Linked DNA regions of Arabidopsis thaliana. The protein of the gene in region 1 interacts with the protein of each later gene in a pairwise test. Each region holds a gene or a part of one and is shown in the gene's direction. Other genes may lie near its edges.

The links. Proteins that work in one complex are often made in the same cells at the same time.
Region 2: the proteins of AT1G54840 (region 1) and ROS4 interact in a two-hybrid assay, tested with the Arabidopsis thaliana proteins (3 studies listed by BioGRID, with this or other methods).

The regions. Positions count from the first base shown.
Region 1 is NC_003070.9:20,452,029-20,455,991, reverse strand, and holds AT1G54840 (HSP20-like chaperones superfamily protein), read left to right. Parts: upstream 1-1,725; 5' UTR 1,726-1,801; intron 1,802-2,056; 5' UTR 2,057-2,059; coding exon 2,060-2,855; intron 2,856-2,937; coding exon 2,938-3,191; 3' UTR 3,192-3,399; downstream 3,400-3,963. Other genes in the region: AT1G54850 (HSP20-like chaperones superfamily protein), read right to left, coding at 1-245, 511-878, 1,548-1,552; NF-YC3 (nuclear factor Y, subunit C3), read right to left, coding at 3,667-3,963. UniProt on the Arabidopsis thaliana protein: Prevents DNA hypermethylation and transcriptional silencing of transgenes and of some endogenous genes. May act as a molecular chaperone of IDM1, regulating its H3K18 acetylation activity.
Region 2 is NC_003074.8:5,039,398-5,047,453, reverse strand, and holds ROS4 (Acyl-CoA N-acyltransferase with RING/FYVE/PHD-type zinc finger protein), read left to right. Parts: upstream 1-1,928; 5' UTR 1,929-2,125; coding exon of another isoform or gene 2,126-2,344; intron 2,345-2,431; exon of another isoform or gene 2,432-2,501; intron 2,502-2,579; 5' UTR 2,580-2,642; coding exon 2,643-4,910; intron 4,911-5,136; coding exon 5,137-5,254; intron 5,255-5,571; coding exon 5,572-5,654; intron 5,655-5,838; coding exon 5,839-6,080; intron 6,081-6,203; coding exon 6,204-6,290; coding exon of another isoform or gene 6,291-6,300; exon of another isoform or gene 6,301-6,484; coding exon 6,485-6,584; intron 6,585-6,787; coding exon 6,788-6,989; coding exon of another isoform or gene 6,990-7,036; exon of another isoform or gene 7,037-7,053; coding exon 7,054-7,523; 3' UTR 7,524-7,642; downstream 7,643-8,056. Other genes in the region: AT3G14981 (uncharacterized protein), read right to left, coding at 2,126-2,344; AT3G14970 (RING/U-box superfamily protein), read left to right, coding at 7,721-8,056. UniProt on the Arabidopsis thaliana protein: Histone H3 acetyltransferase that binds methylated DNA at chromatin sites lacking histone H3K4 di- or trimethylation and catalyzes H3K18 and H3K23 acetylation. Prevents the transcriptional silencing of transgenes and of some endogenous genes.

The DNA.
Region 1 (3,963 bases):
GTCTTCGTAGTACACCTTCTTCACTACGCCTTCAAGTACACCATCTGACCCAAAATTACCGTTAAATTCTTCATTGCTCACAGGACCAGGAAGCTGAAAGTTGATGGTGAAGTGGCCTGGTGGGCATAAGTTCTGTGTTAGCATTTTGAAGATCTGATTGTGTTTGCAAACTGTCTGCTCCCCCGTCGTTGTTGCTCCCTTTATCATAATCTTACCGTCTGGTTCTATTTCGCAGCTGAATTCCTCTGCATATTTAACAAGTCAGATTCAGCAGAAGACAAGTAAAAGCACACGAAACAAAGCTCAAAGCACCTCATAAACACGCTTATAAACCGTGTGCAAGGAAATAATTGAGTAAACACACTTATAACACAAGGCTGAAACTTCTCAAATCTATGTGCAAATAATATTTGCTCTGAATGAACAAATATCTTTAACTAGCTTTAGAAATGATAATTTGGCATGTCATTTGGAAACTTCACAAAGATATGGAAAGGTGGTAAGACTTACTCTCATCCCTTGAAACACCAGGCAATGCAACACGAAAGTAATATGAGTCTTCGGATTCAGCAATATCAACCAACCCAATCGTTAGTCCAATCTTCCCCATTGCAGCACTTCCCGTGAGAGCAACTCCGGTTTTCGTTTGACTGATAAGGTTAGAAAACTCTGAACTTGAGTCAGAAGGCAGAAATATCATCGCAGGCCCTCCTACTTTCTCTACACTATCATTCATCCTGTTACTCGACATGGATGCATGAGTTACTGGACCAATGTAAGGCATACTGTTCAATGGAGTCACTTCAAGAATTTGTGGGTTCCTTGTGTTATCCGGAAAACTGTTGTTTTCCCTCATCCCATTTAGACCACTTGAAGACCTGAAGCACAACAATTCCTTTTATCATACACTTGACTCAGATTCGCTATATAACAGAATCACTCACGAAACTACAACGATTCTTTAAAACAGCAGCGGACTAAAAAGGCTTAATCTTTGAAACATTATAAGGCTATAGAGGTAGCTAGATTCTAGAATCAGTAAGAGAGCAAGAGATTGAACTATATTGGTTAAGATCCAATAAGCAAGCTAAGTCTTGTGATGTATAACCACTATTAATGCTTACGAATATTCATACAAACGGAAACTTCTTATACTTTCATGACCACAAATTAGACAAACGAAGAGGCAACATTCATCATTTGTCCTCTTTTATGTTATCGAAAAGGTCTTACACAACAATGTTAGATACACACATGAGTCTGACCCAATTTTGTAAGCAAGGGTTTAGCCAAGTAATGAATATTATACTATCTTAGACATAAGTTTAAGTTTTAAACCTGAAAATAAGTTTGGCACACAAGTATTTCATCAAAGTTTCAGACTTTTAGCCAAAAGTAACCTAATTTCAATCAGTGAAAATGTACAAAACCCATAAAGAAAAATTAAATCTTTCACAGAATCAAACGAAAATACACAAACTTGGGTTATATAAGAGCAAGAGTAGAAACAAAACTGACGAATTTTTGAGAAAAATTAGTTACTTTACCTCATCGGAGACGATGTTTCAGAAGTCGCCGGCAAAAATCTCCGAGAAGCTTTGTTGATTTTTTTTTTTTTTTCTCTTAATTTTCTTTAAGATGTACATTTGGTATAATCGCCACGTGGACAAATCAGTGCCGAAAGAATACCATTTTTACCCTCTTCTTGCCATGTCTTGAGTTTTTTTCCCAAGTCGCTTTCTGTTTCTCTGATGAGAGACAACGAAATTCACTAAGCAGCAACCCTAAATTTACACTCCTGGTTAGTAACATTTTATCTCAATTTCGTTTATTTATCAACAAATTATGTTTCTATTTGCTTCAATTTCTTAAATCTCCTTAAAAAGTTTCGTTTTTTCCCACCCATTTTGATACGAAATGTGTCCAATTTTTATCCAATTTGGTTATAATTTCTTATTGCATGTCCAGTATTTTTCAAATTTTCTATTAAAGTTTCAATCTTTTTGTATAAACACTCATAAAGAATCAAACTTTTGATGTTGTGTTGTGTGTTTAGGATATGAGTGATACAATGCCTGAGATCGTGTCTCCTTTAGTAGCTGAAAACTCTCAAGAACAAGAAGAAAGTGTGTTAATTTCATTGGATATTGAAGAAGACAAGTTGTTTCTCTTACATTTCATCATAGGAACTTACTTTGGACCAGATTTAAGAAAACAACATCATCGTCCAAAGCAATCAGCTTTTCAGATTCAAGCGTTGAAGAATGTTGTGGTAGATGAGTTAAGTGGCTCACTTATGAAGAGAGCTGAGCTAGAACGTGTGTATTATCACATTATTAGAAATGTTGATCCGTCTCTAGTCATGAAGCCGAAAAAGTTACGTGAATATTTCAATGCGAAACGCAATGATTCGAACAGGGATTACCCTCTTTTCGTGGATCTTTTTCCGCGAAAATTGCACCCTGAAACCCATGTTAGGCATAAGTTTAAGTTTATCCGGAGCATTGTGTTCATTAATGATCCAGATACTTCTTGTATGAGAGAAGAATGTGTTGCGCGGTTTAAGCGGCTTACGGGATTGGATAGCTTTGCTTTGAGCCTTAGTGTTGATGTAACTAAAAGTAACGGCGTTGTTGCAGCTAATGAGGTTAAGGTTGAGATTGATGAGAGCGTGGAACCTGTGAAAGAGGATAATGCGGGTACTTGCACTAGCGGTGAAGAAAGTGATGTTGCTGCAAAACCTGAGGTGAAATCTGAAGCTCATGGTGGACTAATGGTGGGACTGATGGACATTGGTGAATGTGATGACGCTTATCTCTTCCGTGTATCGCTTCCTGGTGTGAAAAGAGATGAAAGTGAGTTACTTTTTGCTTTATCTAGAAGATCTCTCATCCCACTAAACCAGTTTCTTGATTTGATGAGTGTGAGATATTGCAGGATATTTTAGCTGTGAAGTAGAAGACAATGGGAAGGTACTAGTTAGAGGAGTCACTACAACAGGCGGGAAGCGAGTTAAACGGTATTCTCATGTGTTTGAAATGCAAACGCGGAGTCTCTGCCCTCCCGGTAACTTTTCTGTCTCGTTCCGCCTCCCCGGTCCTGTCCATCCACACGAGTTTTCTGGCAACTTTGGAACAGATGGAATTCTTGAAGGAGTCGTAATGAAAAACTTGCAGAAACAAACTGTGTAAACGTTTGGTAGTGATATAGGAAGCGTCGGTTTTTGGTTTTGGTTATGGGTAGGGATAAGTACGGACTATTTAAACTCGAGCTAAGCCATTTTGAAAACTATGTGTAAGGACTGGTTAGTTTACAATATCACTGTAGCTTTGAACTTTATAAGTAGTAATCTAGCCTTTTGTAAGTTCAATTCTCAGTTTATGAATTTGTTACATTGACCGAAAACAGTTTGATGACAAGATAAACCAAACTGAATAACAATAGATAAATCCATGGATCATAAAACAGAAATTATTCTACTACACCAAACTTTTTATGTCGCAATAGTTTTCTATTAACATTCTTCTTCTTGAGTAGATCCACCGGGGAGAGCTTCGAATTAGACGGCTCTGCGGAAAACAAACAAGAACAATCAAATCAAGTTTTGTGTCCATGTAACGATAAAGCACAAATCTAAACCAAGAACTCACAGTTTATTAGGCCAAGCTAATTGTCAGGATCCTGCTGCTCAGGTCCTGGTTGTTGCCACATTGGCTGACCCATATACGGGTTCGGCGGATACGCGCCCGGGTTACCCATAACCATTCCCGGGTTCCCAATTGGAGCTGTTCCAGGAGGCAAGTATCCATACGGATAACCCGCAGCTGTAGCAGCTTCAGCACCAACACCACCCAAGACTTCATCACGAAGATCCTCCCGAGGAACAATATCCACAAGAAAATCAAAAATATCAGTTCTAGTCACCGCAGCCGCGATATCATTCTTCTGCAACGTCCTTCTCTT
Region 2 (8,056 bases), on another chromosome or scaffold:
AGTGGAGAAGAAAGGAGTGTCACTAATGGGGTTAAAATAGTAGGAAAGACTCAGTGACGAAGCCATTTACGACTTTCCTTTTTATCACTTTAACCAAAAGAAGATAGACGTGTGCGATGACGTAAGCATAAAGAAAAAGAAACTCGACGATACGTGTCGAACATTCATTGGTGGAACGTGGCGAAAGCTTCTTTTGAGTCTTTCCACGTCATTGTATTGGATAAAATCAGAAAAAGCCACTTTGGTTTCGGTAAACTAAGACGGCGTGAAGTTGGCGAGAAAAAAGTATTACAACAACGACATCACGTCCTGGTTCTTAATTTTGTGGAAGCACGTGTTGTCGTTTTTGATACATGTACTTTGTAGTAGAGTAAACCGGACGAACTTCTGAAGAGATGTTTTGTTAATTTTGTAGCGTTCCAATAATTTATGGGCTTTATATGGGAGTGTTAACCGGTCGAAAAAGTACTCCTACCCTTTCAAATAGCTATTAACGCGAAATTTGAAACTACTAGTTAAACTTAACCAAATATGATCCCATAAATATGATATATATACACGGTAAACTAATTAAGAGACTGTTCAGATGGTTTTTGGATGAATCGGTGTATTCAAATTAACACAAACACACACATTTTTCAAAATGGACAGCCTGAAATCATGATTTTTGTTATGATCTCTAATTTCTAACCCAACATGCAACAAACAATAAATGATCAATACCCATTATCCGGTCCAAAGTGTTTTTAACAAACTTAACGTTTTAGATATAATCCAAGGATGTGTGTCAAAATTCACTTATATTGTAATAGACGAAATTAAACTAGATTAAATCACATGTTTGTGTGTTTTAACCATGTTTGATGGCTTCGTTGGGTCCAACATATTCCATTCACAATTAGGATGAAGAAGAATGTCTCAATACAGAAAGCCAAATATAAAGCAAAACACGTGGCTCATGCATTAGCTTCGCAAGCGAGCCGAATTATTTGTTATTGACTTATGTGGATCAAAATTAGCAAATGAGGTCTACCATCTACCCTTTTAAAAAAGAATCGTTTCTTTTTAACCATAGTTAAACCTTAAAAATGAAAAAAGTATCTAGAATTGATCCCCTCTAAATATTTTTTTTTTTAAAAACAAATACTTTCACATAACACAGTCGTTTTCATCGTACTGGTACATGTACTTTTTGGAATTTTCATATATCAAAATCGAATAAGAAGAAACAAAGATTCAGAGCCGTATTCCTATATATAGTTAATACAAAACATGCAATAACTAATCTGTTCACACAACAAAATAGGTTAAAATACGACTTATGTCCATCATCGCATGCACCTATTTGATAGTACAGTATTTGTTATCGTTAAGACACGTAAAGATTCCCCGCGCAAATTACAAAGCATCCAATCCACTTAACAGATATTGATTATACATATTAAGACAAAACCTGTTACAATCGGTGATGACTGAATTTTAAAGGACAAAAACATAAGCTGAAATGATTTAAAACGACAACAGAAGAACAGTTAGAAACCTGGCAATTAAATATGCTAACCTTTTTTTTCATTTTAGTTTGTCTGTTATTTTTGTCAGAACAGTTTTTGTCTGTGGCGAATTTAGTAAAAAAAAACTTTGTCAAGAACTTAAAACCATAGTCATTAATATTGGCTTATAGTGATACGATCGTCATTAACAGGATTAAGAATTTGATAACAGAAGAAAAAAACGACGAATATTTGGGTTTTAATTTGTGTAATTAAACGAATTTAAGTACTCCATATACTATAACTGCTGGTCCGTTGTTATCAGAGAGGAGACAGAATCTTAAGGTGAAAAATGAAGAATGACTTTTTCAGTATAACGAAGGAAAAATAAAATAAAAACACGAAGATGCCTTTTTGGTGACAGCACACAATTTATAGAAAAGAAAAAAAGAAAAAAAACGAGAAGAGAAAGAAATAGCCAATAATAAGTATACACACACTGTGCACAACAAAGTGATAGAGGCAGATTCAGAGAGGTGAAAAAAAGTTCGTCAGAATTTATCTATCTGATGAATTTTGGTTGAGAGATTTAACACCGAATCAGAGGTGGGTTTCTTCCACAATTATAGAAAAAGCTAAAAAGATAGACAAATTGTTGTTCTTTCTGTGTGTGAGATAGAGATCAAGGAGAGAGAGTGTGTGAGTGCAGAGAACGTGAAATGGAATGAAAATGCGTTTCCCACTTGCGGTTGGAGAGGATAAGGGCGACGAAATGAGTCTATTTCAGTGAGAAGAAGCCATTTCTCCGATTTCACAGCTCTGATTTCATTCTGCATGCTGGTAATGTCCTGCATTTCCCAATTTTTGAGCTTTCTTTTTGGATGTAATTAGTCATTATAACATCTCAATTTCATGAAATCTGGTCTATCGTTTTGCTCTAGGCTTCAAAGTTTTGGCCTTTCTAGAAGGATCTCTGATTTTATCTTGTTTTGAATCCGCTTCCGCTTATGGGTATGTGTTTTGGATTAGGATGTCGAGTTCCAAACTTTTGGGTTCTGTGAGTTTATTCATTACTTTATATAATTGCAGGTATCTATCTACAACCTTCCTTTTAAGTTAAGGTGAAGTGGAATATGCAGTTAGTTTGTGGAGATGCTTCCCGGAGCTGAGATTGAGATGTTAGGAGGTGACTGCTTTGAAGGGTCATATGAGGATCATCAGATATTCAGAGAAGTTTTCTTTGGAAGTGATCCTGGAAATACTACTAAAAGATGTCTCGTTACTGGAGCCATTAACTTCGAATGTGATTCCAGTAAGAATGTCAATTCCTCTCTGAGTTCCAACTCTGTGGTAACTAGTGGATATGCATGTCCACAAGGTTTTGAGGCATCTGCTTCAAGAGATGGTTCAGATTTTAACACTAAAGCTAAGAGAGTGAAGCTTTCAGGTAATAAGCATTTGGATGCAAGGGACGAAAAGGGATCTGCTTTGCATGGTTTTCCAACTTCGGACATAGCTAGAGAGACGATACCTCTCCATTTAGTTGAATCATCTAACAAGGGTGTTTCAACTAGCTCATATTTGTTGAAGCACAGCATAGTAAAGGGAAGAGAAGTTTATCTGGGTGGCATTGTGTCTGGAAAGTGTAAGTCACTAAACTTGGACAAATGCGATGGAAAGGAATTTAAAGCTATTGCCTCTCCTGTTTCTCAGGAGAGCTTCGCAACCAGAATGATCTCTGTAGGTGCTTCTACGCCGCATAGTGAGAAGGCTTGCTTCCCGCTACAGTTGAACAACGGATCTAAAGTATCTCCTAATGAGTTAATTATGTCTAAAACCTGCCTAAAGATTGATCCTAAAGAGGACCCCCGTCCTCTTCTCTACAAGTATGTCTGTAAGGTTCTAACTGCTGCCAGATGGAAAATTGAGAAGCGCGAAAGATCAGCAGGTAGGAAACATGTAGACACATTTTACATATCGCCAGAGGGACGGAAATTTCGTGAATTTGGGTCAGCTTGGAAAGCATTGGGTGGGATCCTATTAGCTGATCGTAAGTTAATGGATACTGGTACTAAGAAATGGACTGGTATTAATGACTTCTGGTCCGATCTCTCTCTTACACTGTTGGACATCGAGGAGAACATGAAAAATTTAAATCTTGCTAACACACGGGCACTTTGGTGGAGTGCCTTAGAGCCTTTTGTGGTTGTTGTCTTCATTTCTAAGCAAGTTGGTTCTTTAAGAAAAGGAAATAAAGTTGAAGTTGCAAGGAATTCAAATCCAGACAAGTTGAAGAAAGAAGATACAATTTGTTTGAACCTGATTTCAGGCTGTCCTGAAAGTGTGCTGACAGTATCTGAAGGCAGTCATCTTGTTCATGACGTGGATGCTAACCAAGAGATACATTCAGATCTTGAGGTGCAAACTAAAATTTCCTCTCAAAAAGTTTCTTCAAGACTAGAGAGGCAGAGCATAATTGGTAAGGAAATCTCTGGGACTCATGAGCAGGAGGCTAGCAAGGGCATTGTAGCTTCAAAATTGATAGCAGAAGACATGCATGAAAGTGTTATGAGAAAGAACTTACACAGAAGATCAAAGAAAATATCCGATATCAAACCAGCTTCCTTGGACCAACATGATTCACTAGATTCTAATTCTCTCAATAGCTTTGAATTCCAGGATAAAGAGATGGGCAACATTCACCTCGTCTCAAAGGGAAGTCGGGATGAAAGGTTGAGGAATGAGAAGATGAATAATTCATGTTGCAATTCAAAGAAAGGAAGAAAGAAAGCTAGGAAGCACTATACTCAAGATGATGACCTTATGGGGTCGACAATAACCAGAAACAAAGGTAAGTTCAGCAGATCAAGCCAGAAAAAGAAAACACAGAAGCCAAAGGCTAGAACAAAGAAAAGAAACAATAGGGGAGGGTGCAGGTTGCTTCCCCGAAGCTCAAGCAATGTGGAAAATCATTTTTTTCAAGGAAATTGGTCTATTTTGGGTCCTAGAACTGTCTTATCATGGTTGATAGCTACCAAAGTAATTTCTAGAGACGAAGTAATCCAGTTACGAGATCCAGATGATGATACTGTGGTAAAAACAGGCCTGGTAACTAAAGATGGAGTGGTTTGTACATGTTGCAACAAGACTGTGTCACTTTCTGAATTCAAGAACCATGCTGGATTTAACCAGAACTGTCCATGTCTGAATCTTTTCATGGGGTCAGGAAAGCCTTTCGCTTCATGTCAGCTGGAAGCTTGGTCTGCTGAGTATAAGGCGCGAAGAAATGGATGGAGATTAGAGAAAGCCTCTGATGATGATCCAAATGATGATTCTTGTGGAGTTTGTGGTGATGGGGGTGAGCTGATCTGCTGTGATAATTGTCCATCTACCTTCCATCAGGCGTGCTTATCAATGCAGGTATTGTCTGACTCATTCCAGGGTATATTTACATTTTAACTATTATTTATCCCGGTAATTAACTCTTTGCAAAACATACACATGGGTGAAACTTCTTGGCTGATTCTGTGATTCTTACTAATTCAACTCTAGTAACTTACACGGCATTAGTATAACTAGGATATTTTACCTTAAATTGGTACCCTCTAAAGAGAGTTGCTGTATTGCTTTTGCTTTTTCTACCCAGGTGCTCCCTGAAGGAAGTTGGTATTGCTCGAGCTGCACATGTTGGATATGCAGCGAGTTGGTTAGTGATAATGCTGAACGCTCTCAGGACTTTAAATGTTCCCAGTGTGCGCATAAATGTAATCATCTTACAGCTCGCAATCTCTTAGAAACTATGATTTATTTCTTTATCACATGAAAGGAAACCCCTGATTTGAATTCTCTTCTATCATGTCTCACTGAGATTTTATCACGATTGATGTCACTGTTCATCAGTAACAGTTGTAGATGGTGGTTTTCTGCCAGGCTCAGCACTTCTCCAATTTTCTTTCTTTAGTAATTGACACTTTGTAAAACTCACTTTTGGAGTTATGCCTCTCGCGACAGTTGGATCCCACATTAGTTATTTTGGTATGAAATCCACTTTGGCTGATGATTGTTACCTTTATGTTATCAGATCATGGAACATGTTTGCAAGGGATAAGTAAACGCAGAAAGCTTTTTCCAGAGACCTACTTTTGTGGTAAAAATTGCGAGAAGGTATTAATCATACCTAGTCACTGTGACTTAAACAACTAATGGGTAGTTTTTAAATTTACATTGAGAATAATAGTATATTTTTCGCTGCTCTTGGGCTCTTTGACATATAAACAAAGAAGATGTTAGCATGTTACAGCTGCTTCACAACTTTCAAGGTTCTCATTAAGTAGCTCGTGTAATGCAGGTGTACAATGGTCTTAGTTCTCGTGTTGGGATCATTAACCCTAATGCTGATGGTCTGTCTTGGTCAATTCTTAAATGTTTTCAAGAAGATGGAATGGTTCATTCTGCCCGAAGGTTGGCGCTGAAGGCTGAATGCAACTCGAAATTAGCTGTTGCCCTATCAATTATGGAGGAAAGCTTTCTGTCTATGGTAGATCCAAGAACTGGTATTGACATGATACCTCATGTGCTATACAACTGGGGGTAACGTCCTTTTGTCATTAGCTTGCACACTTAGATTTCTGTTTGTTACTTCTGTACCTTCAGTTCTGCTCTTCATTTTCATCGCTTTGTCTTACCTTTTTTGAATCTTTGTTGCACTTAAAGGTCAACATTTGCTCGGTTAGACTTTGATGGGTTTTACACAGTGGTTGTGGAAAAGGATGATGTGATGATCTCAGTAGCATCTATCAGGTTAGTATGAAGAAACTCGAATTCATGCTGAAAAAACAGTAATCTCATGGCTATCAAAGTGTTTGGTATGTCTTCTAGAACCTCCAGGCAATGAAACAAAATTTGACACTATCACCAAATGGATGCTTAGAACTATTCTTTCACTTCCATCCACTGGAACGAGTTACATATAAACCCCATTTTACTATATCCAGGGTGCACGGAGTAACTATTGCAGAGATGCCTCTTGTAGCTACGTGCAGCAAATATCGCCGACAGGGCATGTGTAGAATCCTCGTGGCTGCCATTGAAGAGGTACGATATTTAGAATGTAACCATGTGGTTGTTCTTGAAGCTACATCCACATTAATAATGTCTAAACTTAGTACAATGATAGACATACAGCACCGCTCATATGCTGACCTTGATAATCCCTTAGCTCATATGATCTCTCTTCCAGTCTTGTCTTGATCCCTGGGCTATCAATAGATAAAACTATTCATTGGTTTTGGCTGCAGATGCTTATGTCTCTCAAAGTGGAGAAGCTTGTGGTAGCTGCATTGCCGAGTTTAGTGGAAACTTGGACTGAAGGTTTTGGCTTCAAACCCATGGATGATGAAGAGCGTGATGCTCTCAAAAGAATAAACTTGATGGTATTCCCTGGGACAACTCTGCTCAAGAAAACACTATACGAGAGCACAAAACCCAGCACTATGAAAGGTAAAGCCAACTCCTCTCTCCCTCTCTCTCGAACGAACTTCATTTGATTTTTGCTCCTGTACAGGTGTATGTCTTTCTAAAGAACGCAATAACCCATCAAACAAAGAAGCAGATCTAGAGCCAGGTCTAGACAAAGCCGGGTCTCCCATGAGTACCCAAGTTGAGAGCTGTGATCAGATGGTTCCAGCAGGTTCAGATGATGAGCCATCCCCAGGCTTCCCCGTACCACTCGGAGCCGATCAAACAGAACCAACTTCAGAAACAGAGAACCCAAGCCGAGACAGCAATGCCAATGATAGGCCAAATAAAACAACAGTAGTCTCTATAGGAGAAGAAGAAGAAGAAGAATGTTTGCAGAAAGATGTATCAAAGTTATCAGAAGAAGGAAAAGAAACGACAAGGGCTTCTTCTTCCTCTGCAGCTTTAGAAGAAGTTAGTGGTCTAGGACTAGGAGTAGTAAATAATGTTAGCGATGAGATGTTGCTTTGTGTTGATGAACAGCTTGACTCTGATAGCTCTCAGGATTCGGAATAATATTATTAGACTAAAAAACTATGATCGTTTCTTTCTCTATATCCTCTCGTCACTTTTTTTTTTTTGAAAGAAAACCCTACTAAGATAAGGAAACCGCATAAAAGAGGATTCTATATTTTCATTTTCATTTTCAAGTCTTATCAAGCCTCAAAACCCTAAATACCAAATATCAAAACGCCCATTTTTCCGAACAAATCATGGTTTTTGATGCTGTCAATCCAGACCCCGACAGCTTCGTTTACTATTATCCGATCTATAACGATGAAGGCGATTTTGGCAGAACCCAAAACTTGATGTTCAAGTTTCATTTATGTTACAATCTTGCCCCTGAAGTAAATTCAGATGGAGAAGATGAAAATCCTCTCGATCTTGAAACTCTACTCGTTGATCGAACTCACGAGTTTGATAAAGGATTGCTTTTCAGTGGAGATAGGGAGCAAATACAAGTCATTGTCTGTCACATTCTTGATTTGATTAAAGCCCCTCGTTATATTGATGTTGTTACAGAACTCATTGATGCGATCCTTGATTTA